Linked DNA regions of Styela clava. The main gene of each other region encodes a partner of the protein of the gene in region 2 in a complex. Links are inferred from orthologs where the notes say so. Each region holds a gene or a part of one and is shown on either strand. Other genes may lie near its edges. The genes, in order: BET1-like protein, syntaxin-5-like, syntaxin-18-like and vesicle-associated membrane protein 7-like.

Evidence for each region.
Region 1: syntaxin-5-like (region 2) and BET1-like protein share a complex: the UniProt entries of both Homo sapiens proteins name them as parts of the SNARE complex. The link is inferred for Styela clava from reciprocal best matches to the Homo sapiens genes STX5 and BET1L.
Region 3: syntaxin-5-like (region 2) and syntaxin-18-like share a complex: the UniProt entries of both Homo sapiens proteins name them as parts of the SNARE complex. The link is inferred for Styela clava from reciprocal best matches to the Homo sapiens genes STX5 and STX18.
Region 4: syntaxin-5-like (region 2) and vesicle-associated membrane protein 7-like share a complex: the UniProt entries of both Homo sapiens proteins name them as parts of the SNARE complex. The link is inferred for Styela clava from reciprocal best matches to the Homo sapiens genes STX5 and VAMP7.

The regions. Positions count from the first base shown.
Region 1 is NC_135255.1:10,596,608-10,604,125, reverse strand, and holds the start of BET1-like protein, read right to left. Parts: upstream 3,024-7,518; 5' UTR 2,895-3,023; coding exon 2,870-2,894; intron 1,383-2,869; coding exon 1,291-1,382; intron 811-1,290; coding exon 754-810; intron 1-753. UniProt on the Homo sapiens protein: Vesicle SNARE required for targeting and fusion of retrograde transport vesicles with the Golgi complex. Required for the integrity of the Golgi complex.
Region 2 is NC_135253.1:7,448,640-7,456,492, reverse strand, and holds the start of syntaxin-5-like, read left to right. Parts: upstream 1-4,851; 5' UTR 4,852-5,002; coding exon 5,003-5,051; intron 5,052-5,851; coding exon 5,852-6,054; intron 6,055-6,305; coding exon 6,306-6,379; intron 6,380-6,798; coding exon 6,799-6,854; intron 6,855-7,110; coding exon 7,111-7,295; intron 7,296-7,388; coding exon 7,389-7,533; intron 7,534-7,664; coding exon 7,665-7,780; intron 7,781-7,853. Other genes in the region: GTP cyclohydrolase 1 feedback regulatory protein-like, read left to right, coding at 529-564, 1,098-1,192, 1,579-1,711. UniProt on the Homo sapiens protein: Mediates endoplasmic reticulum to Golgi transport.
Region 3 is NC_135253.1:4,204,022-4,210,553, forward strand, and holds syntaxin-18-like, read left to right. Parts: upstream 1-4,029; 5' UTR 4,030-4,273; coding exon 4,274-5,224; 3' UTR 5,225-6,024; downstream 6,025-6,532. UniProt on the Homo sapiens protein: Syntaxin that may be involved in targeting and fusion of Golgi-derived retrograde transport vesicles with the ER.
Region 4 is NC_135250.1:21,528,616-21,535,882, reverse strand, and holds the start of vesicle-associated membrane protein 7-like, read right to left. Parts: upstream 3,018-7,267; 5' UTR 2,914-3,017; coding exon 2,215-2,913; 3' UTR 1-2,214. UniProt on the Homo sapiens protein: Involved in the targeting and/or fusion of transport vesicles to their target membrane during transport of proteins from the early endosome to the lysosome. Required for heterotypic fusion of late endosomes with lysosomes and homotypic lysosomal fusion.

The DNA.
Region 1 (7,518 bases), on a different chromosome or scaffold from region 2:
AGAACATTGAAGTCAAGTGTAATTTGAATTTGGGAATGCTGAAAATTTGAAGCAAGCAGTGATTTATTTAATGCAGGGAGGAAGCAGTGAAATATGTAAATCCTATCCTATATTTTTAACTGTTTGAAAAAATTAAATAAAAGCGTTTTTGATCATACTTGTGTGGGACTTAATTTGCATTTCAAAATGATAATTATTAATCAAATGAAACTATTTGGTGTTATTCCATCCAAAAGCATAAATTTCTATTCCCAATATTGAATACAATTAATTTCTATTAATTCAAAGATTGGATTAATTTTGGACATCCCTGCTTGGAATAATTTTTATAAACTTCAACTTTCCCTTGTTAAAGTGAAATAATGATCCAATAACATGTAAAGAGTTGATAAAAAATATTAGATGACAATAGACTAAATATTTCCATCAAGAATAGGTTACCGTAGTTTTCACTTGTGGAGAAAAATATAAACAAGTGCTAATTCACAGGTATGGGAAAATGTTAAAATAAAACAAAAATATATATTTAAACAGTGAACATAATCCAAAATGTTATTGTTTGAAGAGTATAACCTCGCAAGTCAGTTCAGCTTCGATATAATTGAATAGGATGACAAAATATGAATATAGTCATTGCTTTGATAAACGGTTTCTAATTATAGCACCAAGCATACACTAGTTTGATCATATTTATATTACAAAATTTAAATATAAAAACAATTAATTGAGGAAACTTTTATGAGAAACACTTACCACACCATCCAAATACTTATTCTGATCATCGACATCATCTCTCACATCTAAGCTTATCTAGAATGGAGATGTTGTATAAAGAAAAAAGTGCTGTCAAATAAATGACTGAAATTATAAAAAAAATAACACAAAATTGTAACTAAAAAATATAGAACTCATAAAATAAATTGGAATTGTCACACAGCTAGTTAAAAACTAAGTTGTATATATATTTAAAAAATATTTATCATAGAGCTCAATAGCAATTGATACAGAAGATAATTAAATTAGGAAGGACAAAATAATTTTAATCCAATAATTAATAAATTCTTTAAAATCAATCACATATCCCAGAAACATAGTTAAGTTCTAAGTTTTAACCACGAACACTGTGGTGTCAATCATTGCACCTATCTTTGTTAACACAAGATTATTTATTGATAGCAGGCAAGTGTTGGATCTGTTTAATTATATGTAGAATAATTTTCTTCAGTAATTTGGTTATATCATTAATAATCTGAGTTATGCATTGACAGCATTGTATTTTATTACTTATACCATTTTTAATCTGGACACTTTAGAAGCGAGTTGATCAGCAAGGCGATCATTTTCTGACTCCATAATTTGTTCTGTTCCGGACGTTGTCCCACCTGTAAATAAATGATAGAAACTTGAATTGAAAAACTAATAACTGTTGTATTTTGGTTCAACTGATATACAGCATACAAATATTAAATTATATTAATGGCCCGAAAATATACAAGAGCATAAAAACTAGTCAACATATAAGAGAGATTGATTTATCGATACATTCTTTAATTTAAGAACAGACTTAGGTTTTGAAGAAAAAACAGATTCAACTGAAATTCGCTGTTTCCAAAATAACGTGTTCACTTAATATTAGTAAATATGATTTGTAATAAAACGCTGCCATGAATATTTCAGGAGTTAGGATTTAACTGCCTTTGAAATTCAAACGAAACATTATATTCATCTGCATTTTTCCTTTCATGTGCGAACATGAGGAAGCTTCTAATTCCTGTGGATGATAAAACACATAACTATTGTGTTAATTTGACAGCCAACTTCACCAAAATCTAGTCTAGTTTATTACAATTCAACCTCAAATTAATAACGAAAGATGTGCATGTGTTATGTGCTTACAAAAATGAAAATATGTACATCGCATATACACTATTCAGGTTATTCCGGAAATAGCTTGTATGTTGGTATGTGTGAACCACAGCCTTCCATGCGTTGGCATCACTGGTCAGATATGGGTGGGTCTGGTATAGTTTAGTACCAAATGCACTAGTTGGCCTGGCTCAATATTTTTTGCATATGTCATTCCTAATTCCACCTGACTATGTCAAAAAATCACATCATTGCGATGTCACAGTGGAGTAATAAGGCCGAACAAAGTATGTGGATAGTCGTTCAAAACGCGCAGACAATCACCCAAAACTGAGCAAGCTATCTCTCTCTTTTTCTCGTCGCAACGATCACGATACAAGAGAGAACGCCGGCATTTATAAGTTCGTTATCGGCGTCGCAGATTCCATTTCAGGCAATCCTGCAATCCTAACTAAACTTTGGAAAGCTCTATGACATGATTGTGATGCCGTAGTGACGTAATTTTTTGATGACATAGTCTGGTGGGGGTTAGGAATAACATATGCAAAATTCGTTATGCTACGCCCACTGGAATTACTTGTGGTACTAAACTATACTAGACCCGGTATAGGCTGGTTTAATGTTTCAGATGCATGGAGTTTGATTATCGAGAAAGCTGTAATTAAGTTACCCATGCCCATTTTTAACATGCTTTAGAACTGTAGAATGAAATCTACTGTATTTAAGATATTTTTTAAGGAGCTCTGCTCAAAGCAAATTCAGAAGGTCGCGATAACTCACTGCGAAATTAAGGAGAATGATCCCAGAGCAAAGCTAAGAGCAACAACTCAAATACCAAGGGCTACCGGTACCGGTACAATACCGGTACTGTGTACGGTAATGCGCTAGGATTTACCGTACATCTGTACATACGGTACCGAATATATTTATCATTGCCTATACCGACATGTGTCCTTCATGAATTCAAAATGGAAATAGCCCATAACCAAACTAGTGGATTTACCTGAATTTCGATTCCAGTGAGACATCTTGCTGGATGCACGCACTTCAAGAAACTCCAAACAACAAAACGAAGCAACAAACGATTGACGACGTGTATCCTCTTCACTATTCGCTAGATGGCATTCTTGTTTTGTTCAAATATCAGTGACCCATAACCGCGCATGTGAGACTGTGAGCCACTGGGAACATGATTTTTGCAATGGTAAAGTAAAGAGAGAGCCCAAGGTTTAACGTAACATACATGACCATACTTTTACTAGATAAAAATAGGATTCGATTAAAACAATCTCGAATAGCGTCTTGCCCAAAGAAGAGGGTCTGGCCCAGTGGCGTAGCCAGCCCAAAATTTTGGGGGGGGGGCCAAATTCGAAAATTTTAGAAATTATATTGGGTTTAAAACACCCGTTCTTCAAGCGCAAAACAACAACAGTTGGTCAACAAGCAAACTGATTCAATTACTCAGCTGGATTTTTGTGAATACGAAATCCATTAATAAACAATTTTTTATTTGAAACAACAAATATTAACAACGCAATTTGAATAAGTAAAATACATCGCCCCAATTAAAAGTCCATCCTTCGCTTCCCGCCAACTATGCTCGACACAACTCGATTAATTTTCTCCTCGGTGACCATTTCACGGTGACATTGAAGCACACACAAATCAGAAAGGCACTTGGACGTCATTGATGAGCGCAGCCATGTGTTTACCCGTTTCATGCATGAGAAAAACCGCTCAGCCTCAACGGTGGTTGCTGGTAGCGTCATAACAATCTGTATTGCGGTGTACACGCTTGGATAATCTCGAGCGCTCAGAAGAAGCCCCTCCAAACATTCGTCGTTAACGTCGGAACTTAAAGAAGTTCTCCACAGTCTCACTCCATTCTGGAGGTTATCCAATAAATACAGACGCTCTACCTCATCCACGTGAACTGGTTTGTTCGGTGGAAGAATTGATAGCAATGAAAAAAATGAAGGGTTGTCAATGAAGCGTTCCCGAATAGAGCAGCTCAAGCCGTCGACGTATGGGAGATATACGGAACGTTTAAAATACTGGGATGCTGAATCAGCACAGACATTATCGCGATAAACTTGTACTTCGACTACTCTGGGTATTGTCAACTCTTTCAAGCCAGCTATTTCACAAGCTTCTTTGTAAATATTCAATGCGATTTCAGAGTCATTGCGTTCTTCAGCGATAACGCTCTGAAGAGAGGATGTGAGGTTCTTTACTGACGGCACACTGACTCCGACCGCCTGAAGTGCGCGCGCTAGTGGCTCCATTAGTGCCGAATATCGACCAATCAAACATACGGCGTAGATAACCGACGACTTTTCTAGAGCAGATTTCAGAGAAAAAGCCTTCGTCCGCGTCTCACAGTTAGCATCTCTCGCCAAAGAATCAAGAGCCTCAAGTACTCGTTTGAAGTTGCATTTGAAGATTCGGATGCTCTTGTACTTCTCAGACCATCTGGCGGGGCAGAACAAAGGGATGTTAATTCCTAAACCCGCGCGCCTTTTAGGGCTCTCCCTGAAAAAACGAATAGTCTCACGAATGGATATCACAGGTGCTTCTGATGATTGCAACTTTACTTTGATCATTTATGATCAAATTCAAACAATGAGAAGCGCAGTGCACAAATATTGCGCGCGGGTATTTATCACGAATGCGTTTTTGCACACCGCTGACGTGACCTGCCATTGTCGTTGCACCATCATAGCCTTGCCCCACAAGTTTTTGCAAATCCACTCCTATACCAGAGAGGTGGGTCAAAATATTTGAGGAAATTGATTCGGCAGAAACAGAATCCATTTCCACTAATCCTGTGAAGCGCTCGCACACTTCACCACCTTTCACATACCTAAAAACGATGCTTAGTTGTTCTTTCCCAGAAATATCACATGATTCGTCGGCTATTACGGACACAAACGATTTATTAGCCTCCATAACGATATCTTGCACTATCATGTTGCTTGCTACCTTGAGAATTTCATTTTGTATCATCGAGCTTGTATACTTAGCGTTTCCGGCCATTCTAGCGAAATGCCTTTTCAAATCTTCATCCCCTGCCTCGATACGAAATAGAAGAAGGTTCACAAAATTTCCAATACCCCCGGAATGTCCGCGCAAGGGTATGTTACCCGAAGCACAGAACATGACAGTCTTGACAATGGAAGTCATTATTCGTCTGTTTTCTTTTGTTTGCGTAGCATATTGGGCCTCCATGTTTGCACGCACATTTTGATCAGTTTCCATGCTTTTGACAAAATATTTTTCGCAGCTATATTTGATTCTCGGTGGTAATTTGTGTCTCGGTGTGCTACAGCCTTTTCCATAAATTTTTTGTAGTCAATGCATGGTCTTGTAACAAAGGCAGTGTCCCTGAGAATTCCATGCTTCAAACGTGCTTGCATGACTATGCATATCTTACACAAACCACCCCCATCAGAGAGTTGGGTGTAAACTAACCAACTACAAAATCTGTTATCGTCAAGCCATTTTATGAGAAATTTACGACGACTTTGTCTAACAGTATCCAGAATCGTCCCGTTTTTCGGACCATCCGAAGTTAGAAGCCAGTTTCTCTCCGCATCGGTAAGCTGTGTATGTTTCTTAAGAATAAATCCAAGATCGTTTGTTTTCCCTTCGTTGATTATTAGTTCATCTTCGGGAATAGATGTGATAGACGTAACTGACGTAACCGGTGCATCAACAGCCTGAGAAGCGCTTATTGATGTATTTGAGGAAAGCGAGTCTTTATTTCGCTGAAAAAAACTATCGAATTTCGCCTGTTTAAATTTAGCCATCGAAGTAAATTGGTCATCAAAATCCAACCGTTTCGAATAAAAATCCGGCGAGAACAAATCAAGACCGAGTAACAAACCGAAAGCTTGCGAAACGGTCTTTCCCATACTGCTCATAAGAGCGAACGGTCAAGTCTTTGTGACGTAACAATGACAATCGGCAAGCGTGACGAGACAAGATGCCACAAAACTGGTGGATTAGGAATGGAATTCTTGAAAATTTTGGGGGGGGCCATGGCCCCTCTGCCCCCCCTCCCCCCTGGCTACGCCTATGGTCTGGCCAACTGGAAACTAAATTTTGTATACTACGACAATGTAATGGACCTTTCCCCGAGCACCGCCTTCCTTGTTCACTTCGTGAAATTGGCCAATCAGCAAGATGCAAAAAGTGACGTAACAATGCTACCTTCTCGCATCCGCTCAGACACTTCTTTCACTCAGATTTTTTCAGACAGATTTTCAGGCGTGGTCGTAAACATTACCTCGTTTTCGAGTTTTTGAACTCTATTCGTTAGTTTTCAGTTGTGTTACGGAAATTTAAATTAGATAATTCAATGATCACTCTGTCTTCCTATGAGTTTTAATTTGATTGCAGTAATCAAAAATCAGTGTAGAATTAGCTGTGATAGACTAGGCTAAAATTGTTTACCGGTACTTTTGAAAAACAGATTGTTGTATGCACTGAATCATAATGATGGTTTTAAACACATACCCCATTTTACAGGCGCCAACTCGCGAAACCACTCCTAAAATAAGCCCCGACAATTTTGCAATGGTAAAGTATAGGAAGAATTTTTCGGAGGTCAAAGGTCGGGGAAACGTTCATACATTTTGTGAAAATATCTTCAAATTATTTGTTAGCTTTGTACTACAAAACTCAACAACGGCCAAAGTAATTCAGCCCTTTGTTTTTAACTATGTCGTTCAGAATTACACTGATTAATATTACATGTGATTTGTATTACGCGATGTTGGTTATTTATTTACCTATCGCATTAGATGGTTCAACTACCAAGCATCGATCATGAATGATAACAGTTCTCCAACAATCAAGTTGCTAAAACTTGGCTAATGTTCATTTAGATATTTGAACCTTGGGTGTCGCTGCTTGATAACCAGCTTTGGTTCCTCGCAGCTTTCCCTCCCCAGTGAAATGTGTATTCAATATTATTTATTCGTCTTAATTTTGCATGTTAACTTTTTTTACTGTGTGGAAAAAATAAACTTGACTATGACTACTAGTAGCTTCCAGCTTCGAAAAGTGACCTGGAAATTTTTTTTTTTTGATAGTGGCCCTCTCGGAAGCTTGCAGTGAGAAAAAGTGTGTCATAAGAACTGACACAGTGAATTTTAAAAATCGTTCGGAGAATTTAAGCTGTTAAACTACATCAAATATTAGCAAGTTGGCGGCTGAGGGCCAAATCCGTCTCGTTAGATTGCCTTTAGCTTTCAACTGTAGCGTACCAGCCGTCTATGAAATAATTATCCAAGTTCAGAATATCTTCCAATATGGTCTGACGTCCAAGTTCTCTTTCAATATTCACTCCAAGTTATGCAATTTTATTCTATTTATCAATTATCAATCTTAATACAACCAAATACTCCAAAGCAACGGAAAGCATACAATAACAAGAGACCTGTGCTCAAATACATGGACACGTCACAAAGTGTCGCTATTTTTTATTCTGACACATAAAAAAAATCTCTTGAAGTCCACAGAAATTTTTGAAATAAGTAAAAGTAATAGCCTTCTGGCAAAAACATCAGTCTTTAACCACTAAAAATTTCAAAGCAATTGGTCCAGTATTCGAAGAGAAAAGCGATTTCATTATGACGAAAGAGAAGA
Region 2 (7,853 bases):
GCAGCGTCATTTCAGCATTTCGCTGATTAGTAGTACCGGTACCTACCGGTGTTCTATTCTGGATATTATTACTGTATATGGTGCGGTACTGTACAGGATTTGACATATTCATATATTAGTCTTCTATAATACGGTACTGTAATAGAATAGGCATGCCTTTTTGCTCCAGGCTGCCAGGTAATAAATCGTGGTTGGCCTGAGTCGGTGGGTCCTTAGACAGTCTGACAAGTCACTGTACAGCTGTAAGAAGTGTGGTCTACTTGCTGACTTGTTAGCTTCCTCGCTTTTGTACATAATAACCCCGTAACATGAGAATCTTTTACCAAAGACTCTAGTCATCTAAATCAGTAAATGAAATGACTCAGACCCCTAGACTCGCATTCAACTAACCACCAACCACTCTGCCAGTGAGACCGAGCTCAGTGAATCGTCTCAGGCTCTGATGGCCCATGACCTAATGAGTCTGCACTTTTAACTAATAAAAACATTCCCTCATTTGCAGACTTGTAGTAGACTGCAGTGAAATAAATGCCGTATTTGTTAGTGAGCACACTGGTTCGATTAGTAAGTATCATCTATTAACCATAATGTTTTTGATCACTTATCGTATTGTATAAAATCTCCTGATACTGAAATATGAAATAAAATCCAGGAAAAAAACAGTTTCAGTAGAAATTTTGAAAATATGATTTCTTTGCCCAATTTAGAATATGATTTAGTCTTAATCAAAATGAAAAATAAATCCCACAATATTAGTTTAAGACGCATATAAACAACATTAACTTTTCCACAAAAATTTGAAAAAATAAAAATTTATTTCAATTATGAACTAGGCATTAGAAGCCAGTCAGGCATCTAAGGGTATAGTGGGTTCAATTGCACTTAAACAATATTTTGTGTTTGGGAAATACAGTTTTATGGTCTGTTGTGTGATTATGCAAACCTAAATCTGAGAAATTGTTGTTGAATTCTTTTATTTCTTGTCTTGATTAATGACATGGTTAAGCAAAATATATTTAATTTCTTGTGTTAGATATGAATAATAGTTAACTTTAGTCTAATTAAAATCAATAAATCTCACTTCTTGGTTGTTTTAGGAAATTGGACCGACAATTGTTGGAGATGAACAGTCTGATCCAGACTTGATGACGAAGATAGGTGCTGTGTTGGGGCAACAGAAAGGATGTCCTTTGTGAGCTAATCTTGTTATGGATGTTTTCGATTTGTACCTTTTTTATTCAATGAGAAACTGTCTGTCAGAATGGATAGTTATTTGTTCCATGCTAGTTTTATATTCTTTGAATTTTTCTGATACTGCAGTAAAAAAAATTTTGATATGTATGTCACAGTGATGTTGTTTGCTAACTTGCAAAATTGGATCTGAGTTAATACAGAAGATAATGCTACTGGTAATCCCACTGGATAGAATAGTAGAATAATATACTATTTTGTGCCATCGCATAGGTTACCAACAACTTGCATTCTGTTTAGTTGCAACCTGTTTGTCTTGATTCTTTATGCCATGTTACATGCAACATACCACATTTTTTAATGTTTTATTGTTTTGAATTGTTTTAGCAAAGAATACACAGTCTCTGACCCTCCTCGAATTGTATTGAACAAATTGGAAAAGTTGGGATATTCTGTAATAAATACAAGCGGCATTGGACAAACTATTGTTTGGACATTACATAAGCCAATTTCTGAGTGATAAATTTCAATGTTTGGGGGATAGATAACTTGATCATGCTGTCTAATTTGATTAGCTGTGAGTGGCTGTATTTCGGTTTACTTACAATCAATTAATTTATGCCATCAACTGTTACATATGTATGCATTTCTCTCGGAGATATCAGTAAATGGCTTTGATTAAAATTGTTTTATTTGTCAAAAATATTTGGATTGTGTGGTACTGATTCAATCATTCATTTTTAAATGTGCAATTGTAATATATGATGTTATGTGCAACAAAAAAAGTGGTAAAATGAGTAGTCTTATGAATTGGTGTGAAAGGTGTGGCTTTTGCATATATATATGGGCTTGTGTCATGGTGGTGTGAACAGAATTTCGTAAATGAACAATACGTGATTGTGAAGGTATGTACGATCGAAAACAGTGGTCATGGCGCAGAAAGCTTTGTCTGAAGTACCGATTACAAGTGGATAAACTAATTATTCACTGAGGTATTTCGTATATATATAAACCCATTGATGGCGGTCGGAAATGAGAATAATAATCAAAAACTAAGATTTTGTGGTGAGAAATGAATTACAATACAATTTTATCTCGATTTTTCGTCTGCAACACCGAACACTAATGGAAAAATAAAAACACAGACAACGGGGCAAATGGGAAAAACCTCCAGAAAGGTTTATAGCGAACGCTGTAACCGGCCGGCATTTATGCCCATTCACCCACACAAGTGGAAAAAACATCGCGACAATCATACTGAAAAAAATAAATGCCATAAATAAACTCGAGAAAATAAAATTCATGGGCGAAGCTTACTTGTGAAGGTATAAATAATTTTGATGAGCGAAAGTGGTGAAGAGTTAAAAAACAAGTAGAAGTTATGTGACGGGACCTGTGCCAAAATACGCGAATCATAACATTAAGTGATTAGCTGCTATTTTTCTTGGCAATCCTTGTAATCCTGAGCATTTGCCAATGATGGTCGGTCGTAAAATTAACTTTGCGAGTAGCGAATTCATTCAGTTATCATTATAAAATTATACAAGGTGGTAATTTATATTGGGTACATTTAATGGACTAACCCTAAAATTAGCGCGAGGCATAGGTTAGTTGCGCTAACTGTTGACACGAACTGATTACCAGACGAGAGATGCGATGAAATCGATATTGGCACTGACGAATTACCAGGTTTAGATCTGACGCGATTTTGGTCCTAGTGGCCACAAAGAACTTTACAGTTAACCAAATGACGTCCAACCAACAAATATATACGAGGAGCTACATATAAACCAAGAACCAGCAAAAACTTATGCTAGCCTTTTACATATTTTTTTACATTATTGTGAGAACTTATGGTCAATACACAAAGCACTAGAAGTTCATCACCTTTGCATCATTGCTGACTTTGCTTGTTAAGGTATCGATGCTCGCATCCCGTAGTCACTGCCTCCGTTTCTCTGTCTTACATTTAATAAACATGTTGGCACTGGATATGATAATTTCATTTTAAGTGATTGTCCGATGTCCCCAAAATGTTTGTTGTGCAGATGCGATTCAAAAATTAATATATTCAATGTTTCAATGCAAATCTCTCGTCAGCAATACACATGCGTGGGTTCGCAGGTAAGTATGAGTTTATTTCGACTCCATAATCAGCATAATAGACGATAATGTAATTGATAAAAACTTATTATTATTAACTTATTATAGAATTGGGAAAGCAAACAAAACCTCTAGTAAGGTTTGGAACGTACAAATTTTAAAGAAAAGGTATTGATAAAGGAAATAGCACGTGTTCGCTCACCCAAAAGTATTAGTGAATTACTCAGTAAAAAAGAAAAATATACAAACGAAATAACTAAATGAAAATCATGAAAATTTTTTTTTTGCCAAACTATAATAATAATTTTATGAGGCTTGCCAACATGAGTTATACATTGTGGATAAAAAAAAATTCCTCAAAAGATATCGTCAAGCTGATTATATTTGGAGTCACCTAATGCCAAATTGCCCAATCAGAATTTTAAGTTGGATGCATGAAGGGATGGGCTAAGCCTCACCAAATTGAAAGCCAAACTAACGTCCAAATCACTTTAAATACTATTAATCAATAAAAGTACCGGTAATTATAATTAAAATTAATTTTAAGGCAGTATGATATCGAGATAGGAAAATCGGTTACAGCAATATATAGGTTATTAAAGGTTCAAGTGAGATTTTTTAAGGTCATGGATTATAGGCAAGGAAATTTAATTGAGGTTGTTGATCACTGGGGTCAGTTCAAGTTCATCAAAGATGATCCATCAGTCTGCAATATTGTTAATGTATAGTGGTATACACATTTTATGTTGAATTAGCGACCTTTTAAATCGATCATCACGACGTTATGAAAAACGAAAAATATATCTGCGAGTACAATATTCAATGATTGCAAATAAGGAAACAATAGAAAACTACCCTACATTTTTGAGAAGATATTGTTGATTTGAATAAATATTGACCAATATTAATAATTTATCATTAGACTACTAGTTGAAAGACCTGAGAAAGAGGAGATTGTAGTTGGGACACAAGAGATTGTTCACAAGCCATGCAAAAACATTTGATGTCGATCAAACCACACTAAGCATTCACATGTTGGCCATTATTTTAACTATACAGCAAATCAGAAAATCTCTGTGTACATACAGGGCACAGTATATAACACTACAGGAAATTAAAAGGTAGGGAGAATCCAAATATAGCTCGACTGATCACCTAATTACAATAATGGATAATAGCATAGGTATTATTAACCACCGAGTCAAAGATAACAGGCAAAATCATACCCAATGAGGACTGGGAAACAGAAGAGAAGCCGCGGTTCGCAATATGAGCAAGCCGTCTTATCGACTTTTCCCCTTCACGGAATAAATAGCCTATGTAAATCCTATCAACCACCAACTAGGCATTTCTATTTTTATCAGGCAGTTGTTCCGGGAGTTAATCCATGTTCGAACAATTGAATATATATATACCTATTATATATAATAGGTAGTAAGCAATTTACAGTATTTACCTTTTCATTCATTTTAATGAATTGGGTTTTCTGTCATCTTCCTTCTTGTTTCCGTGCACTACAGACAGTGACGTTAATCAACTTGCGTGGAAATCGGCCATGCATGAAAATGAGAAAAGACACCTCGTCAGCTTTTATACAATAGGTTGCTTCTGTGTTACGGTACAGAACTTTTTATCGTAGGATTTACGCAAATTTGTCTTCGAGTCTTAGAAACTGTATCCCATGTTTTATTGGAAGTCATATGACTAGATGATTACCAGGCGAAGAATCGGATCTCATGAAAAAAGCTCACCTTCAGGTTAGTGCTGTAGTGAAATCTGTAAATGGCTTCAGTTAATTCACTACCGGTACCGGTACCGTACCGTACCGTACCGTAATTCGCGTTTATTTGAAACTACCTTCAGACCTTTCTGAACTATACCTTTATACACTCTGAATGCCACGGTCTGGGTACCACTCAGATAAATAATACCGTATTCTTTCAAATATCTGCTTGAACTTCTGTGATTACTGGATTACCGGTACTGGATTAAATTATATTTCTGTATTTATTAATTTAATTAAAAATTAATAAAGCTGAAATGTTTAATTGATTAGCATATGGCAGTTAAGATAATCAAAAAGTTTTATCGAAGCTCATTCTTCAGTTTTTTCATTAATAGCGCCAAACACTTTGTCACTTATTGACAAAGCTGCTGAAAACTAGAGCATTTGTTGTTTGGTTATTCTGTTATTACAGTATTATCAGAGCTGTATTAAACTTGTTGCTGATTTTTTATTGTGGAACTGCTATGTAGCTAAGAAACAAGACACTATTCTACTGCCTGATTGCAATACAGAGAGATGGATTGACAAATCTGTGTAAAGAACACTATTTCGAAAAGACTATACACTTGTATTGCAGTATTGATGTGTTCTTAATTTTTGTACCAGCTGTTTGTATGATGATATCCCAACTGACTGAAACTTTGATCATGGCGGTTGCATTGACCATATGACCAATATAGAAGAACTTTATTTGACGAATCAGCTTGCGTTGCAAATTCTGACATATCGAAAAGTACTGTACAGTTGTACAGAAATCCATTATATTCACAGGTGGTTGGTCTTTTTCACAACTTCCTTCACTCTCATCAACGAGAATACTTTTCAACGGAACTGAAAGTAACGAGGTTTCTTCTGGTCAATTGGAAGAAGACAATTCAAGCCAATCAGCAGATTTAATGACAAGCATGAATTCCGCGTGCCGCGACCGGACTGTAGAATTTCAATCTGTTGTGAAGTCATTAAAATCGAGACAGGTATTCAAGAACCAAATATTAAATTTACTTGAAAATCATGAGGAATTTCCATATCAAATTAATATTTGCCTAATATAGAATGTCATGTGATGGTATAAGACATTGACTCGTTATTTCGCAGTTTGGCAGAGGATCATATTGCCATACATTCAAATTTTGTTAAATGTGACAGAGCTGTGTTGTACCTTGACCCATATTTGCTCTATGTGTACATATTTTTATGAATTCTATGTACGTTATTGTATTTTCAGTCTAATGGTGGGGTTCCACATAAAGCACAAAACAATGCTCTGAAAAATAGAAGTGAATTTTCTACATTTGCCAAGTAAGCATAATATGTACTTAACGCACTTTTCAATATATATGATTTTTGATTTCGAAATACTCTGAATATTTCTAGTATACTGCAATAAAGTAATTTCAGACAACTTTTTCCTTGGAGAAAAAATTAAATTACATTATATCAGAAGTGTCAATGCTGTTCTTTACTTTGCAGCATTCAATGCTGTTCTATACTTTGCAGTACTTCACTAACTATTTGTTTTTCAGTTTAATGCTTCTCTATTTGTTTTATTGTGGAATTAGATTTGTTGAATTGTTATATATATATAATATATACCCCATTTAAGTTATAAATTAACTGTTGATGAAAGCAATGAATATGCATAGAGCACAGTTATTTAATTGATTTAATAATTGTCGTCAAGTAAGTGGCAGAAATACATATTGCATATTTTTATTCAGGCGAATTGGCAGAGATATAAGTAAGACATATGAAAAATTAGAAAAACTAACTTTGTGTAAGTATGAAATTTATACTGATTGTGTCTGGTAAATCAAAAGTCATATTATGTTATTATGTTATGCATATCTTTTGATTTGTTTTTATTTTAGTTGACTACTTCATCATAATCACTATTGCCGAATTTTTTATTTTACTCAAATTCTTATTTTTTGAAAAATAGTAATTGGATTTTTGTTTATATGATATATTTTCATATAGTCGTTATGAGACTTGATAAAAAATATTTCTCATCGGTTACTTCTTTTTTATAGTATGTAAAAAACGTTCACTGTTCGATGATCGACCTGTTGAAATCCAGGAGTTGACATATATTATTAAACAAGACATCACTTCGTTGAAGAAACAAATTGCTCAACTGGAGCAGGTAGTTTCTGCAAGGTCTAGTGGCCATAAAGATATTCAAAAACATTCGTCATCTATTGTTCGCACATTAAGGGTGAGTTTTATGTCAATTTTATTGAAATTTTTCAACGTTATTGTTGTAGCTATATGAAACAAGATAGCTGAAATTAAATATTATTCATTTCAGTCCAAACTTGCTTCAATGTCTGATAATTTCAAATCTGTCCTTGAAGTTCGACGTGAAAATATGAAGCAACAGAAATTGCGTAAAGATCAGTTCAGTACTACTAATTTATCATCAAGTATGCCGCCATCTGCTATGCAGGGGAATCGTAAGTTGACAATTACAAAATTTGTTTTGATGGATATATATGGCACTTTTAGGTATAGAAACAGACCTACCTGTTTATTTCAACAGCACTCTATATTTCGTATTGTTATTACCATGACTGTGTTGTTTTAGGAGGTTCAGTTTTAATAATGGATGAACAAAGGAATTCTTCTGGAGATGTTTCAATATCAATGGATGGTTCATCGCCATCAACTTCACAAGATACAATGCAACTGCTTGATCAACAAGTATGTTAAAATATGAATTGATATATGTACGTTTCACATTAATTAAGCTGTTTCTTTTGGTTTTCCAATCTTT
Region 3 (6,532 bases), about 3.2 Mb from region 2:
AATCAATATCTACTCGAAATAATAATTAATTCTAAACAAAAGTGTAGGGTAGTGCTGTTTCCAAATATGTAACCCTTGAATATCCTACTCGCAGATTTATTTTCTGTTTTTCAGGTCGTTCTGTGATGATCAATACAATGGCTAGTTTATTGAATATAAATAGTGTCTACAACAACAAAATTTGCAAGCTGATGTCTCATCCACGACAAACTTGAATTGACATCTATTACGCCACAATAATTAAATGAAGAAATGATCCTGTGAAATAACAATACTAATTCCTTTATTCCTAATTCCTTTATCCTTGCAGAAGTCAATATCTAAGAATGAAAAAAAAAAAACCTTATAACCTTAGCAACCAACATATTCCTATACCCTGTCTTTCTACCTTAATTAATTATAATTACTCATACTTATAAAGTTACTGATAGATTTGAATACTTATTGCAATCTGGACTATAATTTGGCAATAATAGGCTCTAGTTTGGGCAATGAAGTGATCTAGCCCAGGGGTTCTCAAACTTTTGGTGTTGCGGAGCCCTTGGAAAGGTTGACTATTATTCACGGAGCCCCAAAATAAATGTTAAAGTTGTTACTTTCAGATTAATATTCCTGAGCAAGTTAAAAGTACTTTACTTAATTTAAATGCTGAACCTTAGGGTTAATACAAGTCATACATAAATCTAAATTTCAAACATAAATTATATATACACTAAAGCTGTAAATTTGACACTTGACAAACATGTTAATAAATAAGGGGTCGAAACTTTTCCCTTTTGACATTTTTGGAAGACTTAAAAGGCCGCTAATAACGTGCGCAATTGCATTTTGTTACAATCGCCGATTTTTTTCGTCAGCATGGCGTGTCTTTGAATCTTTTAACATCTTTACGCCGGTGTTTATTCTCCCTAAATCAAAAATTTCCCTCGGCATATATATACATGTATAGTTACACAATGACGACGTTATTCGCTTTTTTGTTCTCGTGGGGAATTATGAGTTCAATGTGAAAAACATGTTACCATATTATAGTCATCGTTACGAAATGCTAAAAATAATAATTAATAAAGAGATAAATCCGCAACTCAAATTTCTTGATTGAAAAGCGGCATTCTAAAATAATAAGACTAAAACTTAAAATGGAAGATCACAGGTTTGGTTTCAGCAGACTCACCTCAGATTGAAAACGTATTTATAGACATTGTAAATCACAAAAATTGGTGTTATGTTAGGTTTTCATCGTAGTAACTGCGAAATCGAAACAGAGTCAATGGTGCGCGCGATGTACCTTTTCCCCCATTATGAAACTACCGACGGAGCCGCACGCAATCAATTGTGCGCGCTCCGCGATGTACCTTTTTTTTCATTCTGAAACTACCGACGGAGCCGAATGCAATAAAATAAATTTCAATTGTTCGTTAAATGCTCGCATCGGTCATGGATTAAATATTTTACGCAATAGAAATCTCGTTATCCGTTTTTTTTAATCGCGAAGAATGTTGCGCGGAAATTTCCGATTCCAATTTTGAACCACCACCCTCTTAATAATCCTGGCTGCGCTCCTGCTTATAAATAATGTCATTTTTTAATTCCGCCTCTTTGCCATATTTCGAGGCTATTTTGTTGTCAGATTTTATCAAAGCTGTTATTGCTTCTTATTAGAACAGTTACAAAACTAGTCAGTATTTTGAAAAGTAATCCGATAGCTCGCGGAGCCCCTGGGTTTCTCTCGCGGAGCCCTGGGGCTCCGTACGGAGCACTTTGAGAACCTATGGTCTAGCCCAGTGGTTCCCAAACTTTTCTGACCATCGCCCCCCTAAAGTAGTTTATACAACTTCATCGCCCCCCAGCACTACAAAAAAAATGTAAAGTCAGAAACGAATATATTACAGACCAAATAAGAAGACAAATCATAGTTTATAGTGTTATTTAATGAGATGAATGAGCTCGGTGTTCTTCAGCAAATTTTTTATCATATCTGAAATTACCCAGTTTACTGATGGAAAGGCGATTTCGTTGTTTTGATGACAATAGTAGCACGGCTCAAAAACCCTTTTTCACCATATAATAGGTCGGAAATGAAAGAATCCAGGGTTCTACCTCCTCAAATACCACCGTGTACTCTTGCCTTATAGCATTTCACCCCCCGTAAATTCACCCCATTTCACATTAAATTAATGAAAGCAAAGTTAATTTTCCCAAAGTTATAATAATGATTTTCGTACATCTCATTCATTCCTACAGCCTGATGACCTGCACCAAAACACTTCGGTAAAATTCATCCCCGATTCCTTATCCTACCACGGCCTACAGCCCTATCACCAGTCCATAGAATTAATCAGCTATTTGTTTTTGGATTCATGGACTCGGATGTGAAAAAAAACTGTGACCGACTATCGACTACGGCCCAGGGGTCGGCAAATTTTATGTCGCTCGCGAACTCAACTCAGTCGTCTTATCAAAAAATTATTACAATGACATTTAATGTGACACTGTCATGTTGCTGCATCACGCTTGATAGCTTTACGACGCCAAGATTGGAACATTTTCCAAATGGGCATCACTAATCCCAGTTCTTCGCTTGTTCTTTGTAATGTCTCCATTTTCGAAAAAAATTGTTCGCACAAATATGTACTCCCAAACACTCTTAAAATAAGCACCGAGAATTTTAAAATGGTAAAGTATATAGGAAGAATTTTCCGCGGGCAAAGGTCGGGGATAGGTCTATTCAGTGAATCGTCCCGGTACAGATTTTTTTACTCCGGCCGTATTTTGCCGACCACTGGGATACGCCAACTACCGTACCTTACTGCGGAGACGAGTCCAGCAATCCTTTCGAGCGTGATAATCGACCACGTGATTCAAGCCTGCGAATGCACACAGAGTACAGAATTAAGTGCACGATGCGAAGAGCAAAAACGGATTTCGCGAAATCGCCCCCCTATCGCCCCCTTCGACTTTTTCGTCCCCCTCTGTATCGTTTTCGCCCACCGGGGGGCGATATCGCCCACTTTGGGAATCACTGGTCTAGCCCACCTCTTCATGTACCCAATTCTGGCAACTTTGGTTGGGCATTTTGGCATTTGACTCCATCTATAATCAGCTTGACAATATATTTTTTTATAAAAGTTTATCTTTACTGTTCACTCCCATTTATAAAATTGATCAATTTGGCAGTGGCAATCATGATAAATTTATTAATATGGTGTGGCAAGTAATTTTTATTTATTTATTTTTTATTAACTACCAGTATGTAATTTTTCATGTTCCCTTTACTTAATAACTTCTATATGGTTGTGTGTGAGCGTGTGTGAAATGTTTCAAATATTTTAGGTGAGTGAACACGTACCACATCTTCTTGGCAAAACCTTCCATCTTATATACATTCTGTACGTTTTAAACCTTATCTAAGGTTTTGTTCGCTCTCCTGATTTCATAATCAGTTTTTATTTATTTATTTTTACCATTCATTTTATTGTTTTGCTGATTATGGAGTCGAAATAAACTCATACTTATAAATTTTGGGGGAATGTACCGGTAATGCGTTGCCTAGATATAGAAAAAATATTTGTATGGTACATCAGAGCAAGTTAAGCTTAGCATCCTAAATATTAGAAAATTTTAGGGGTACCGGTACATGAGCGATCTATAAATTGTCTAACAGGAAGTTTTGCAAAACCTGCTTGAAATGGTACAGACTTTTTGAGACCACAAACTGACAAGACTGTTTGAGTTCTGGTTTTGTTCACTTTAGGAGTTGTTAATAAATACACAATGATATTTGGGAATTTATAGATTATTTTCAAACGCCACCTCGTAATCGGAAAGATATTAGGGGTGAAAAGTCTGTAAACCCATCAAAGCATAAATGTTGAATTGAAGAAAAATCAGATCTTTGAATCATTCATTCTAGCCTCAAATAGCTGTAGTCTATTCTACTACTACTATAGTGTTCAAGAAGTCACCTAGTGGCTTCAGCATTTTTCAATCTGAATGGTCCAATGAAGTTCATATCTTCAAGACGATCTGTTCTAGTTTGTCAATCTGATTATTTTTAAGTCATTTATTTGTGAAAAAGCATGTCAAAATAGGACTTTTTGTCACATTTTTGACGTTGTTTGTTTTGGCATAGTTTTCAGGATCGATCACATCTGGACTAGATAGGAAATATCAGCATATGTTTTATAGAAACCTCTGACATTTATTTAACTAATATGTATATCTTTAACCAAATTTTATAGAGTTTTAGTTGGACAATTAAACTTGGATCATAATGCATATAAACTTCATGGATCGTACGAATGATTTTAAGAAAGCAATTCGTGATATTAGAAAAGAAAATAGTATTCTAGATAATACCGTACTGAAGAAACCATCTCTGGATTTACATGCTTATAAAAGGAGAAAATCTGATTTTAATAAGAAGGCCAATGACATTGTCCAGTCTATATCAAAATTGCGGGATTTTTTACTGCAACACCGCATTGCGTATATAAATTCTCATCAAGCAGTAGGCCTTGCGTCACAGCCAATGAGTGATCATGAAAGAGACAAAATTGATGAGGAAGCTCAGAATATTATTAAGAAATGTAATGATGCCATTACAGTGATGCAGCAAAACGTCGAACAAGACAATATATCTGATCAACAATGCACCCATAGGCAACTTGTACTTGCTTCAATACAAAATCACCTAAAGTCTGTATGTAAAATCTACAGTGAACAAAGAGCAATCAGAGTTAAATTAGTGGTTGACAAAAAACGCATTTCACGTTTGCATAATCCGGAAACACATAAGAAAGCTTTGACACAGGATCCAGATCATTCAAACAATACAGAACGTCCAGCTATAAAATTTGAAAGCAAATTCAATTATGAAGAGAGTGATGAAGATGATTTTTCTGAGACTGAAGCTGCAGCATTGGAACAAGAAAATGTTCTGTTATTCAATGACATGAATAGCATGGTTGATGAAGTGCGTGCAATCGAGGGAAAGGTTGTTGAAATTACTCGGTTACAGGAAATTTTTAGTGAACAAGTTTTGCAACAGGAAGGAGACATTGAAATAATATCAGAAAAAGTTATTGAAAGTACTGAAAATATCAAAGGTGGTAATGAGGAACTGCGGGAGGCGATAAAAAACAATGCTGGGTTCAGAGTTTGGATATTGATATTTTTATTGATGTGCTCATTCTCTCTTTTATTTCTTGAGTGGTATAGCTGATAAGGTGCGATAAATATAACTATTACTGTTCTATATTGAAAGGGGTGGTGATAAAAGTATCATTTGGCACTAAAAGGGAATCAAATACTGGAAGAAGCTGAATACAAATGTTGGTATAGGTGTAATTTTTTTAAAGCTAAATCTGATATTGAATGAAAGCGGGGCTGTGAAATCGGAAGAAATATAAACCTGACTCTGAATGCCAATACATTCAACTCCGACTCCCAACTCTGGGCTAATGAAAATTCTGCTTTGTCTCTAGGTTGAGGTGAATTTTGATGTCAGCTGGGAATCCCAAGAAAATCAAACTTTGTTGTTTGCAAGCATTCTTAAGTTATCTAGCTGCTGTGAATGCTTAGTCAACCTGAAGCTTTTTGAGTTTTGTTAGAAATTTTAACTTTGATTGTCACCATTTAATTCTGAATTTTGATTCTGTGGGTGTGCAGTTTGAAAAATGGGTATCTCAGTCGGACTCCAACAATATTGATGGACATTTAATTCCATGTTCCAGTTGTAACAATTTCATTATAAAATCATTTTATGATCTGCAATTTACACTTGTCTTTATTCTCAGTATCTGATTTCAAGGCCACTATGTTTTTCTTAAAATTTGCTGCAATATTTACAGCTTTTGTCTATGGCTTTAATATATATAGATTATAACTTTGCTAGGTAGTGTGAATGCAACTGCATTATTATTAACCACAAGAGAATTGAAAGTATATGGTGTTATTTATCCACATTGTAAAAGTTTTTTAGAGAACACTTGCGAATAAAACTGCCCATAAGAAGATAATGAATCAGCATCTGATAGTGCCTGATTTAGGTTATATTTTTAAGGTGAAGCACTTTCAAGCAATCATTAAAATGTGTTATATGTATAAGTATAAAATCAAATTTAGTGATTTTATGATTTAGCTTAGCAAAGCTGAATATACCTTAAATTGCTGCAATGCCTGGAGGTATAATGAAATTTTAAGGTTTGTAAATTTGAACCAACCACACAAATTGTGAATCAGCATGCTATGGATTATCGCACTCAATTGTGGGTATTGCTGCTGTCTAGTAAATTTATGAACTAGTTTCAGTTTCTTTACGCAAGTTGCCCGAGAGAACCAGAATACATAAAATATAGTAAGAGGCTCAAGAGTTTTACTACAAACATGCGGAAATGTGTACGAAGTTGAGTACCTCCGACATCTTTCAGATTGCGCTCATTATGATTATGAGGTGCTATCCCTGTCCATACACTAATAACACACAACAATTTTTTCCACAATTGGTTCTTTGTGCCGTAAGTGGTCTGAT
Region 4 (7,267 bases), on a different chromosome or scaffold from region 2:
ATGTAACTTCATTATTTCTATATTATAGTACTGATAAAAAATACCCCTCGATTTGAGATATTGAAAATGGGCAACAGATTTTGGAATTTATACATCCCTGTATTAAATAAGCAGCCTTGAAGAATTTAGTTTTAATTTACAGCAGAGAATTTCCACAAAAAAAAAATTCCTTGTATATCATGAATTTTTAACGAATTGAAGTCAACACTGATTGTTCATGACACTAAAGAAAGATGATTAATTTGCAGTGAACACTTAACGAAAAAAGATTGAACTTGCGATTTGAGAATTTCAAATTTTCAACAACTTCAATAAAATAAAATCTAATTTATATCAGAGTCTGATGCCTCTCAGTAAACCTTTTTTGAGCATTTAGATTACCTGTCTCATTCAAATAAGCATTAGTATGAATTTTGGTTCAAATCATTTACATTTATACCATATCTACTAAAACCCATTATAAGATAACTAAGGCACAAATAAAGAGTATTACAAAATGCTACAACACTTGTATTAATAATTTAACTTAATGGATTTAAAAAGAAGAATTTTAGCACAGTCGCACAGCTTTCAAAAAAAACTTCTATGACATATCTCAGGGGTGACCAACAGGACGATTGCCACGTCTTGAGTTGTCGACCGTGCTTATCAACATGCCTGCAAGGAATATGTGTTTAACCAATATCCAAGCATCACTCATTTAAACATGAACATTATTAAGCAGCAGGTTCTTGTGTGGTATCTGTCAAAACTGAGCCCACCATACCAGAGCAATCCCGCACGGGCTTTTTTAAGAATCTGGGGGTGAACAGGGTTCCAGTCTAGGCAGGGGATAATTAGGATGGCTATATCCACAAGCAGCTCTAGTGTCTGGTGTTCAGGGATTTGAAGCGGAACATCCTTATTGAGGTTCAGTTCTAAATTTAGTACTCGTTCATTTTTGTGTGTGACTTTATTATCCATCAGTCAATCGCAAGATATTGTGAAAAATTAAGTCAATCTCAGTCAAAGACAGGTTGGCCCCCCCTGGCATAACTGCAGACATATTCATTTATAAAACAGTCAAGTGAGATAAACAATGCTATGTTTCAAGCGCATGAGAGCAATTCAGAGGAGTCCAAACAATTCAGAGTATATGAAATTCACAAATGAATATATTTCCGAAATCCCAGAATCATCAAAATTGGGGCTTTATATGGTAATTTTACACAGTTTTGAATAGTCATTCATGTTAGTAGAATATGTCCATTCGTGGAAATTCGATTTAAAAAGGGTTGTCAAGTTATATTTATTTATCATATGATCACTGGACAGAAAAAATATACAGCTAATGGAGTGAAAATGAGACATAACAAAAGGACACAACTAAAAACTATCATACCCTAAAATACAACAAAACAAACTTATCAAAAATATGAAGGATTATCATTTCCTGAACTTTTAAAATAAACTTTCTGTCATGCATTGTGCCAAGAGTCTAATTATCGTTGCACCACTGCTTACTTTACACATGAAACACAATATCAATTTTTGTGGAGATAGTTGCGTGCAAGGGTTGTTCAAATACATTGAAACAGATTGAACAGACCAATGCAATGAATTAACAGTAAATATTAGACTAGGTATGGTAAATGGGGAATACCTAATCAGCCACAGTTTCTAGCATGATTTATTTATTCGTCCAACATGAAACCATAATGACAATTCAGGTTGATGAAAAAATATAATACAATAAGAGCTACTCAAGGCAAGTGAATGAAACTCATCAAAAAAAATAACATGTACGACTAACGAATATCCAGTATTTAACAGAACCAAATTGATAAGTGTTTCCCAATATATGCTTGTACATTAACGAAGTCAGGAAATGACTCATTGGTGAAAATCATTGAAGAATAACCGTATTTGTTAAGTAAAACTCATACTCCAAATCTGCCTTTTAATAGTTTGACGGCACTTTTGTATCACTCAAAAACTATAAATGAAAAAGTCCGCTCTAGCAGAGGTATTGAACAAACTTAGAGAATTCACCAATTCATAGGTTCAGTTTATAACCACTATTTTCAGCTTAATGCACAACACAAAACTAGAACCATTATCAAAAAACAAAAATTTGACTTCAAAATGCATGAAAAAAAAATAACCCAAATCACTAATACCAAACTTTGGCAAACTATATGACAAACTCACTACACGAATCATCAAATAATAAATTCAATCAATTCTTGAACCATTATTAGATTTCCCCACGCACTTTGGCCAACTTAGTCCTCCACAACCCGCAGAAACCAAAAAATATATGACTATTATTGCAACAACAATCAGGACGATTGTTATTTTAACATTTTTCCAAAATAGCTTCCTAGCTAGGTTAGTGCTTTGTTTTTTGAAAGTGACAGATGATTGGCTAAGATCTTCTGTTTTATCCACAAGTAGATTGAGATTTTCTCCGCGTTCTGTTATGCTATCAATATTTTTCACCATTATACCCTTTAATTCATCAAGCTGATCGTTGACTTGTTTTACTTTTGAAATCTCGGGGGATTCCACGACAGGTTTGGAATACTTTTGCATTTGAGACCACAGTTCCCGCGAAAATTCATTATCCATCGCATATGGTAAAGCTGTCAAAGCAAGATCTCCATAGTTTCTCTGAAACTTTCTTTTTATTTCTCCCAGAAATTGGAACGCCTTCGAGCGCTCAAATTCATCTTCTGTTATGGCGTAATATACAATTCCATTTTCTCTTACATAATGAAATAAATAATTTCCTTGCGAATATGTCATTTTTGTATCCTTGTCTGGAATCTTTTTCAGTATCTGGTCCGTGACTTCGTCAAAATTGCCAGCACAACTTGCGCATTTGGCAAGAATTGTCGTCTCACGAGCGACAACAACATATAAAAGAGCCATACTTATTTTAGATAGACTAGTGAGCTAGACCATGCCCAATATAATTCTGTAAAGTTTCAAATTTTTCATTTAGCATTATAGTTTGATGTAAGACTGAATACGATAACTCAATCTCCTAATTAAACAAAAAAAAACTTTTCATAAGTACGGTATACCGGGTACAAACTTATTAATAATGTGCCAGGCTCTATTGCTGTGATTGGATATTTTATTTATTGTCCCAGCAAATTTCAGTACCAGGTACCAAGTCAATTCGACTCACTGCTGCTTCTATCACAGTATCTTTTTTTTTTTTTTTTTTTTTTTTTTTTTTTCTATAAAATTGAGATGGTATTTTTGAATAATAGGTTATCAGTAATAGGTTGCGCGAAAACAGCACAATGTGCCATGTGGTATAAAATTTAAAATATAAATTAAAAAGGAGTGAAAAAGATTTTGTTTCCACAAACAATGTTAATATTACAAAATAATACAAAACAATATTCAGTAATTGCAAAGCAATTTAAACATTGTTTTGTGCAGGCCAGTACTGCAGTATGACCATCGAAGGTCACTATGGCTGCTGCGCGTTTTTGTGCACTATGACTGTATGAGTAAACTGACAAAATTGGTTGCGACAATATAGCTAAATGGAAAGATGAGAAAATAGCCAGAGATAATTTTTATTCGACCATTTTACATCTTATAACTATGCAACTTGACTCGGCGTAAAATTTTTTCATAATATACTGTTACTGTTATATGGATATTTAGTATGTTATTGATCACCATAAAATAACCGACTCAATGTAGAGGGCCTAATCAATAAAAAAGCACATATTACTGTACTAAATAACACAAATGACATTAAATTATTATCAATTTCAGAAGTTAGACAACACTTTCAGACTTAACAGTAAATATTCTTCAAGAAAAAAACATTCATTATACTCATTCAGAGGCTATTATTATATAATATACCGGTACCTTATATCTGCATGAAATGACTGAATGATAAAACGCCTTTTCTCAGCAATAAAACTAAAAGGCGCGTTATCAACGTCTAAGCCCATCGAATGACAATTCGGGAACAACAGCCACGATATCTTTTTTTTTTTTTTTTTTTTTTTATTTATAAAAACAGTCAATATTATCAATACTAGTCAATCTTAAAAATGTACTATCAAAAGCTATGACATTACCGACTTTTCTAACAAGTTTTCAATTCTTCCATCCTCCAAAAAGCTATTTTTCATATTTGATGCCATATTTTTCAGCATCCCTCTAATTTTACATTTAAAAATTATTCTCATAACTGATTGGAAATTATCCAAATCTTCAAATATTATTTGATTCCTGAATTCCCAAATAGCTGCCTTTCCACATGCAACTATCATAATAACTGACAGGTCACATGTATTTTGTGCAATAATGGTATCAATATTATTTTCACTAAAATGCAACTCGCACCAATCCCAAAATATTTTAACATAATAGCATTCAAAAAATAGATGTTTACAGTCTTCAATGATATTAATATTGCACAACACACAGTGACCATCATCATATTCTGTCCAATGCCTTGTTCTATTTCCAGTAGGTAATGCCATATGAATTATTTTCCAACATAAAACTTGTACAATTTTAGATATTCCATGAACCCAAATGTTATTCCAATCAATATCAAATTCCAGTCCATAATATTCCTTAATTGATAAACCTTTTTGTTTTGTCACTTCCATTATCTTTTTACTTATAATTTGATTATACATATATTTCGTGGTTGGAAGTTTTTCAAATGAATATATTGAACTGGAATCTGTTTGAACATTACTTTGACTATTCAACACATTAGCCCATCCTGATGGTATGGCTTTTAAAATTTGTACAGAATCTTTTACTACTTTCCTATAACAATCAAGTTTTTTATTTTCACGCATACTACTCCATTTGTTTATGCCCCAAATTTTGATTGCTATTTCAAGACAGTCATATTGGAACAGATGGCCAAATGTTAAAATGTTTCCTCTTATCCAATTATTTATAAATTCTGGTTGATTCAACCATGTTAAGGCTGGATTCCACCATATGTATTGATCATATATTTGTTGTTTAGTGGTAATTTGTTTCGTTTTTACATCAAGTTCCTTGAATATGTTGACCGAATTTATATAAAACTTAGGAATGTTATTATTCCTTAAAATTTTCAAAGAGAGATGTAGTATTTCTAAATTTGTCACTGTTATTTTAGGATGGTATCTATTTATAAATTGTTTCGCTCTCTTTGCCCAAGGAGCCTCATCACTTTTTAATAATTTCCAAATCCATCTAACTTGTAGACTTTTAATCTGACTACACAGATCCATGGCCTTCAGACCTCCTTCAACTTTCCTTGCACAGCAGACTCTCCTCTCTACCGTGGGTTGTTTGTTGTTCCATACAAAATCCCATACTAGGGTCTCAATTGTTTTAATGATATCATTTGGAATTGTTATTACAGCCGCAAGATACCACAATTTAGATAATAATAGACTTTTAGTAATCAGTATTTTCCCTTGCATGCTCATAGTTCGAGCTCTCCATATATTCACTACTCTTTTGATTTTTTCTATAATTGGATTCCAGTTTTGTTGCGTCGTGTCATTGTTGCCGATCCAGACACCAAGGACACATAAACTATCCCTTTTTAATGCTATACCTTGAAACTATCACAGTATCAACAAGTCCCGTCCAACTTGTCATCATAGATTTCGTGCGTAAAGCGCTGCTGCAATGCAGTAATGCGACCCGCAATATCCATAATGCTGACTGGCTGAAGTGCGCTGTTGATAAAGAGGCCTAATTGTTGATAACGGGACATTCCTAATGCGACCTTACTGTGCGCAATGCGATGCTCCTCGAACGACCAAAGGCTATACCGGTATGCTACAGTACCGGTAGTCTATTATTTGATATGAGAAATATGGCTAACGCTTATACCGGTATACGGGGCATTTATAACATAAAGGGTTAGTGTGTATATACTAAGGTAAGGTTCTACGCAGATTCATTCTTGTGGAAGCTATTTCATACAAAATTACATTTTCGCAAACTTACATACAGTCGAAGTAGCCTACACCAAGAGGCGGAGGGAAATACTTTCACATGTATAAGTATAAGTTTATTTCGGGTCTCAATAATCAGCAAAACAATAAAATGATTGGTAAAAAAAATAAATAAAAACTGATTATGAAATCAGGAGAGCAAACAAAACCTTAGATAAGGTTTAAAACGTACAGAATGTATACAAGATGGCAGGTTTTGCCAAGAAGAAGTGGTACGTGTTCACTCACCTAAAATAATGAAAATATTTCACACACGCACCCACACACACAACCAGAAGTTATAAATTAAGAAGTTATAAATTACATACGGGTAGTTCAAAAATAAAATAAAAATTACTTGCCATACCATATTAATAAATTTATAACGTTTGCCACTGCCGAATTGATAGATTTTATAAATGGGAGTGAACAGTAGAGATAAACTTTTATGAAAAATATATTGCCAAGCCAACGACTAACATACCAAGCTGTGCCAAGCTGATTATAGTTGGAGCAATGACATTAAACAACATGATGCGCCACTCCGCCATTTTTGGCCGAAGATCGTGTCCGATAGCACGCTCCAATGCACATACTTGACGAGACGAAAACGAGCGGATGTGTGCTGCTTTCAAGGAATAGCACGAATGGTGTTCGTGCCTGCTTTGACAGTTGTTGTCGATTTTAATGATATTTTGTAAAGTTGAGGTAGAAAGAAATTGAAAAAAGGTAAGGTAAATACTATTGTTGTATATCACACCCGGGCATCGCACTGTTTAGTACATGTGGGAAAGCCAGCTTTTGTCAAATACTACGAAGTTATTAATTCAGTACGGTACGTAGTTGTCCATTTGCCGAAATTGCATATTTACTTACCCCTTATGGTTTCAAATAGTTCATGCACCTCCAGTTAGATTTTTTATTCAGTGAGGATATATACTCATTTCTGTAACATACTATTGCTCAATAACTTTTATTTGCGTATTGAATCAAAGGGTTAACAAGTTCACCTAACATTTTACTCATACCGGTCTATATTGTATAGTCTGATCTCTCAAGTATAAGAATGCTTGTAATTTTCTGACTAAACCCTTTTATTAGTTGGTTTATATACCAAATTCAGTAAAACATATTTTACATAGACATGGGATATTGGATTTATTAGCTTTCCCATTCTAAATCATATAGACTGCTTTATTCATTCTTAACGAAAATTAATAAATCTCCTCTCTTTCTTCAGATGTGAATGTTGTGGAAAAACCTGTCTAGCATTGTGAGACTCCTGCAGCACA